Linked DNA regions of Notamacropus eugenii. The protein of the gene in region 2 interacts with the protein of the main gene of each other region in a pairwise test. Links are inferred from orthologs where the notes say so. Each region holds a gene or a part of one and is shown on either strand. Other genes may lie near its edges.

Region 1 (3,755 bases), about 180 Mb from region 2:
GTATAAATGCCGAACCAACTAAGGCTCTTGTTCCGTTGGGCAACACCAGAGTCATGGTCAGTTTGCTAACCCCAGTCTGAAGTCTTGAGAAATTCATGAACTCCAGAACCTTTGAAAGGAAAAAAAAAATTACATTTCACTTGAAATTAGAGTGAGGACAGATAGGCTATTAATGATAGCAGAGAAGCAGAGAAGAATGAACATTATTAACTTTTCCATCGGCTCATTCTTCACTGAAAAAAAAAAAGAGTCCATTCACCAGGAACTCCTTCTTTTCTGCTCTTCATTCTCACCTCATATCACTCAGATGTCTTCAGCTATTTCCTCCTTTACCTCAGTCTATAATGAAGGATGACCCTTCTTACCAAGGCAGACCTTTCTGCATGTTTTCTTGATCCTTTTTCATCCCATCTTCTCCAACAGATTGTCCTTTCTGTTATCTTTACTCTACTAATTTTCAATCACTGCCTCTGCTGGCTGCTGGCTGCTGTAAAGATACTATAAGTATGTCCATGTCTCATACTGAAAAAAAAAAAACAAGACAAAAAACCCTAACTTCATCCGATGCCAATATCTTCTTTTTTGTGCCTAAACTCCTTGTTCTCTCTTCACTGTCTACTAAATTTTCTATAGCCTATTGTCTGACCTCATTATTTAACTGAAAAGGCTTTCTCCAAGTTTACCAGAGATCTTTTAATTTCAAACTCTAATGACCTTTGCTTACTCCCCATCCTTCTTGAGCTCTTAGGATCTTTTGACACTTTGGTCATCTTCCTTTTGATATGATCTCCTCTAGGTTTTCCTGGTACTGTACCTTCCTAGTTCCCCTTTTCCCTATCTAAGTGTTCCTTTTCAGGCTCCTTTGCTGGTTATTTATCCAGATTATTCCTCTTCATTGTGGGTGTCCCCCAAGACTCTATCCTGAGCCTTCTTCTGATCTCCCTCTGTATTATTTCACTTGTTGATCTTGTCACCTTCCATGGATTCAAATGTCACCTCTGTGCAGATGATTCTCAGATCTGTTTGCAGAGTCCCAAACTTTCTCCTGACCTCCAGTCTTGTATTTCCATTTGCCTTTTGGATGTCTCAAAATGGGTGTCACATAGATCATCTCAAATCCAACCTCTCCAAAATTGAACTCATGCTCTTTCTCCCCATATGCTTCCCTCATTCCGATTTCCCAGGGGCATCACCATTCTTCCATTCACTCAGGCAATGAAGGTGTTATCCTCAACTCCTCATTCTTATTCACCCCCCCCTCCCCCATCTGAACCATTGCCACATCTTGTCAATTCTGCTTTCACATCTTGTGAATTCCATTCTCTCTCTCCATTCACAGAGCCACCATGTTGGTGCAAGTTCTCATCTCCTCACACCTGGACTATTGCAGTAGCCTTCTGGTTGGTCTCCCTGCCTCAAGTCTCTCCCCACTTCAATCTACTCAGTTGCCAATTTATTTTTCTAAAGTGTAAGTCTGACCTTGTCATCCTCTACTCAGTGAACTCTAATGATTCCCTCTACAATTAAATATAAAATGCTTATAAAGGGCAGCTAGATGGCATAGTACATGAAGTGCTGGGCCTGAAGTCAGGAAGATTCATCTAGGTGAGTTTTCAAATCTAGCTGTGTGACACAGGGTAAGTCACTTTGCCTCTGTGTTCTCATCTATAAAATGAGCTGGCTAAAAAAATGACAAACCACTCCAGACGAGTATCTTTGCCGAGAAAATCCCAAATAGGATCACCAAGAGTTGGACACATCTGAAAAATGACTGAACAAGAATTTTAAAGAATTTTAAAGCTCCTCACAGTCTGACCCCTTCCTACCTTTCACTTTCACAGTCTGCTTATACATGTCCTTCCATATACCTTATAATTCAGTAGCACCAACTTTCTTACTATTCCTCACATTTCCTAACTTCATGACTTTTCACTGACTGTCCTCCATGCCTGTATTGCTCTTCCCTCTTCTGGCTTCCCTGGCTTCCATTAAGTCTCTGCTCCAATCCTACTGGCAAGAGCCCTTTCCCAGTCCTGCTCAGTGCTAATACTTTGCCTCTGATATCTACCCTGTTTATGTTTTGTATATACACAGTTGTTGGCGTATTGTCTCCCCCATCTTAGAGTCTAAGCTCTTTGAAGGAAAGGACCCTGTTTTTGCTTTTTTTTTTTTCTGTCTCCAGTGCTTAGCACATTCCCTGGTCCATAATAAATGTTTAGTAAATGCTTATTGACTTGACTTGGCTTTGAGCTTAGTAAAGTTGCAAAGAATAGAAATTATAGGATTAATGAATACAGATTTTTGTCCTAGATTTATGATTTCATCAGGGTATGGAACACCTGGTGAGAAAACTGCCTCCATTGATGAAGAACAATTTGCAACTTAATCTCAGAGAGTTCCCTGATGATGCTGAGGCATTAAATGACTTGCCTGTGGGCAAACAAGTGTCAGATATAAAACTTGAACCCAAGGCTTCCTGAGTCCAAGGTCTGTTTCCTGTTGTCTATATTATGCTGCCTTTCGAGGTTCCTTAAAGTTGAAAAATTCTAATTCTTTCTTGGGGTTTAGTTTTATAAAGTATCTTCTCTTTACTTCCTCTTTGGGGGAAAATATTGTATCATACTTCTTTTCAGACTCTTATTTTCAATGTGCTCATCTCCAGAGATGACAGATCCCATCCACACTGAGATCCCCATCTGCCGTTTGCTTGTCCTCGTCTTTGATATGCTAGATGGAGGAGCTTCTGGATGGGGGAGTTGTTGAATGAAGGTCTCTGCCTTTGGCTGGCAAGATTTCCACAGATTTAAGGATCTAACAGAGACTTTTTACAAGGCTGTTTTTAAATCACACTGAAAGATATACTATATATGAACAACAGTGTGTGGGTGGGGAAAGAGAAGGCAGTAACAACTTGGGGGATATTTGGGAACCTCTCCTTAGAGAAATCCAAGAATTTAGCATTTAGGTCAGAAGCTTATTTGTATTTGTGTGAAGTTAAATTTTGTACTGTAGTCTTATTCCTTCTTTTTCCCTGTTCCATTACCATGGAGCAAATATTTCAATGTTCAGGTTTGGCTTAGTATCAATATAAGTGGAAGAGCATTGCCAGAGATTTATTAAAGAATGGCAGAAACTAACATCTAAGGGCAGGATGATCAGGCCTTGGTCTAGGGTACTAAGGGAGGGCTCACGCTGGTAGCATCTCACTACTCCTGAATGTCCTGCCCTTTTTCTAAAGCTCACCTTTCCCCATGGTATCCTTCTGTGTGGTGCCTTCCCCCCCTCCTTCTGGAATATGAGGGGTAGTTAGTTATGCCATGGGGACTAGGGCCAAATTGTCTGGAGGAAAGGTTGCTTCTCTACTATTCTGAGGGCACCTGGTGGGGAAGACTGTCCTTCCTCTCCCAATTTGCCTCCAGTACCAAAATCCCTAATGATGACTTTGGAGAAGAACCCAATATAGTGGTATGGATATTTGAGATAGAGTGAGAAAAGATTTGTGTTTCAATCCCAGCTCTGACATTTCCAAGCTTTTCTATAATGGGCAGTTTTCTTAAGTTCTGTAAACATCCTTTTCCTCAACTGTAAAATACCTAGAAAATCTCCCTCCCAGGGTTATGAAGTTCAAATTACACACACACACACACACACACACACACACACACACACACACACACACACTTACATATATATGTACATGTATACATACACAGATTATATATATGTATTTATACATATACACACACACTTTATAA
Region 2 (3,755 bases):
AGATGGGTGGTGATAGTGAAACAAAAACGTGGTTTGTTTTTTGTTTTTTCTTTTTCTCTTTTCAAGTAAAGGAAGGCCTGAAACTGTCTAAATGAGAAAATCAGAGAAGAATGGAGGAAAAAAAGGTCAATAATTCTAGAGAAAAGGGAAAAGTTTATGAGAGTGAACGTAAGGTCAAGGCTCCTCCTGAGGTGGGAAGGGCAAGAGGTACATACTTTTTGAAGATGAATAGGTTAACCTTTTCTCATAAACTGGAGAGCAGATGAAAAGAGGAAGACATATCTGTTTCTGTACAGGGATTAAAACCCATTTATCTTCTCATCAATAACATCTCTTTCACAGACTTGAAATATCACCATTCTGTCTTGTTCAAGCTAAAACATTCAAAACTTTTAAAAACTCTTCTATGTTTGCCTTTCGAAGCTGTTTCCCTTTCTTACAGGCCCACATCAAAATCAGTCCCATCTTCCTTTCATTAATTTTGCAAAGATTCCCAGAACCAGTCATCACTAGGTACACTTTCAGATGCTTCTGATGTGGGCTCAAATTCAAAACTGCCTCCTTCAGCCTTGCAGTATCTTATTACTCATGTCGGTAGCCTGTAGCTTAGTTAAGTCTCCATTCTCAGATTTAAATCTGAGCTAAACTTGAGTGGGGATGCGTTGGCAGTGCTGGCATAATAAGGCAGAATACCAAATGCTCCAGATTCAGCTCACATCACAAAACAGAAACTGAAGCACCCAGATCGAGGTTATGCAAACTCCAAAGAGGAGGGGTGAAGAGAAAAAGCCCAAATCAAGCAAGCCAACCAACCTGCAGAAAATAAGGTTGTATGTGGAATTCATTCCTGTATTTGTCATTCTCAGTGTATGATGCAACATAAAGTTGCCCAATTTTTATTTGCACTTTTTTTCTTTTCCGGTCTATGCTAAAGCTCTCCAACTCATAAAATCCCATTTTAAAAAAGAGAGAGAAACTCCCCACCCCAAGAAATTTGGATTACAGTCTAGGTGACAAAATATGGTCAGAAGTGACCCCACCCACACCTGCAGGAGTCATGCTCATAAATGATTGTGTGTGTTGGAGGGGAGGGAAGGTGCGGAAAACAGGCAACGCCAGAGTCACATTTTTTACCCTCCACCCAGATTTCTCACACCCACCTGGTGTGGAAGCTGCCAAAGATCCTAAACCTGGACTGGGAATCTCTCCTCACCACAAAAGAGTGTGTGTGTGTTTGTGTGTGTGTGTGGTGTGTGTGTGTGTGTGGGTGTATGTGGTGTGTGTTGTGTGTGTGTGTGTGCGTATGCGTGTGTGTATGGTGTGTGTGGTGTGTGTGTGTGTGTGTGTGTGGTGTGTGTGGTGTGTGTGGTGTGGGTGTATGTGGTGTGTGTGTGTGTGTGTTTGTGTGTATGTGTGGTGTGTGTGTGTGCGGTGTGTGTGTATGGTGTGTGGTGTGTGTGTGTGTGGTGTGTGTGGTGTGTGTGTGTGTATGGTGTGTGTGGTGTGTGTGTGTGTGGTGTGTGTGGTGTGTGGTGTGTGTGGTGTGTGTGTGTGTGTGTGTATGGGTGTGGTGTGGTGTGGTGTATGTGTGTGGTGTGGGTGTATGTGGTGTGTGTGTGGTGTGGTGTGTGTGTGTGTGGTGTGTGTGGTGTGTGTGTGTGTGTGTGTGTGTGTGTGTGGTGTGTGTGTGTGGTGTGGTGTGTGTGTGTGTGGTGTGTGTGTGTGTGTGTGTGTGTGTGTGGTGTGTGTGTGTGGTGTGGTGTGTGTGTGTGTGTGTGTGTGTGGTGGGAGGCCCACAGTAATTCATACTCCCAGTCTTCTGCCTTTCTCCTTGAACTCCCCCTTCTACCCTCTCTTTCCAATCTCTAACCGGGAGCCTGGAATTACAATCTCATGGTCACCGACTCACAAAGGTAGCTACACCTTTTCCCAGCCAACAAAATGGCAGGTTAGCAACAGGCGAGGCTGACAGAGCGTCTCTTTACCCTAGGCTCCAGCCGCCCTTCTGGCACGGCCCTTCTCTGCCAGCTCCGGCCACCCCATCTCCAGCCAAAGGGGAGCCGAGCAATCCCTTCCCCCTTCCAAGATGCCGACCCACTCCTCATTTTGAATATCTCCCTTTCTCCTATCTTAAGCAACAGACAGCGAGTACCCAAACACGGAAACCAGAAGCCAGGTTGCCAATGTAACAGGTGCCAGGGCAAGCAGGGGAGCAGGCCACGCGGGGTGGGCTCCACCAGGGTGGCAGCGGCGTGGAGTGGGGAGGGGGGAAGTTGGGAGTGGAGAAGAAAGAGGGTAAGCAAAGGAATTTGGAGGGAGAGGACGGAGAGTGAGCAGAGGAGCGGGGCAGCGGGAGTTAGAGTCCGGCATGGACAATGTTTCTTCGTTGACTCCCTGTCCTCTCGCGACCCCTGGTACCTTCACCTACCCTTCCCCTGCTCTCTTTCCTGACCCTCTTCCAGATACTTTCGCCCGCTGCCCACTTACAATCTCCAGGCAAACGAAGGCTCCGGAGTAGGTCCGGAGGATATCGAATCCCACCGGCAGGGTGACCCTGGGCGCCGGGAAAGACACAGCGGGGTTGGGTGGCATAGACGCTCCGCCGGCCGACATGCTGCTGCTGCTGCTGCTGCTGCTGCCGCTGCTGCCCCTGCTGGGTGTGCAAAGGCTGCGAGACGCCCGCCTCCACGACTGCCAGTGCTGCCACCGTTCAGGGTGGCGCAGGGATTGCTGCTCTCCGTGCGGGATCCCAGGCGCGCCGGGAAGGGAAAGCAAGGGAAGGGAGTGGGGAGACGCGGCTGAGTAGCACGGGCCCTTCCCTTCTGGCAGGCGGGGGCGGCTCGAGCCCCATCACGTGGGCCCAGGTGAGCCCCGATCCCCCTGGGCGTTCTCTTCGAGTCACGTGTGCCAGGGTTGGCCCAGGTGCCACTGTCCAGGCCCTCCCGATGCACAGCCTTCTGTTGACTGTCTCTCCTTTCCACCCGCTTTTCCCTCTCCCTGGGCCTTGGGCATTCAATGAATAACCTCTGGAGCACCAGGACTCTCATCTGCCTCCCACCGTGGTTCGAAGGGAGATCCACTAAATCGATTGCCTCTTTCTTTCGGCTTCTTCTTCCTCCCACCTCCTCCCACCTCCTTTCTCCCAACCCTTTGACCCACTTAGTTAGATGGAGAACAACAGTCTCACTACCTGTCAAGGTGACTTAGGAAGTGAAATCACAAGCTACTTCCAAAAGACTGGATTATTTTTAAGAGATGGTGGGAAGAGGTTAAGTGGATTTTCTAATTTTAACCTTTTTTTGCTGTAAAATCACATTTTCTCTCTTGTAGTAAAAGAAATTATTTTGCAGTGATAGTCATACACAGTTTCCACGTACATCCTTTGTTCTTGAAGACATTGCTTAAAAAGGATTCTTCCGCTAATTCCCCATTGTTTATGCTTTGCTGTTCATTCGTTTGAGTCCTATCCGACTTTTAGGGACCCCATTTGGAGTTTTCTTGCCAGATACTGGAGTGGTTTGCCATTTCCTTCCCCAGCTCATCTTTCACTGAGGAGGAACTGAGGCAAATAGGATCGAGTGATTTGTTCATACAGCTTGTAAGTGTCTGAGACCACATTTGAACTCAGGAAGATCAGTCTTTCTGACTGCAGGTCCAGCACTCTGTCCACTGTGCCCCTAGCTGCCCTTTTATGCTTCACGAAGTCATAACTCTTTCAAAATAATTATTTTCCCTTGTAATATTATGTGTTTACT

Evidence for each region.
Region 1: the proteins of MAL2 (region 2) and TPD52 interact in a two-hybrid assay, tested with the Homo sapiens proteins (2 studies listed by BioGRID and IntAct). The link is inferred for Notamacropus eugenii from reciprocal best matches to the Homo sapiens genes MAL2 and TPD52.

Annotation. Positions count from the first base shown.
Region 1 is NC_092875.1:303,170,847-303,174,601, reverse strand, and holds the start of TPD52 (tumor protein D52), read left to right. Parts: upstream 1-1,200; 5' UTR 1,201-1,215; coding exon 1,216-1,468; intron 1,469-3,755.
Region 2 is NC_092875.1:126,086,351-126,090,105, forward strand, and holds the start of MAL2 (protein MAL2), read right to left. Parts: upstream 2,845-3,755; 5' UTR 2,614-2,844; coding exon 2,488-2,613; intron 1-2,487. UniProt on the Homo sapiens protein: Member of the machinery of polarized transport. Required for the indirect transcytotic route at the step of the egress of the transcytosing cargo from perinuclear endosomes in order for it to travel to the apical surface via a raft-dependent pathway.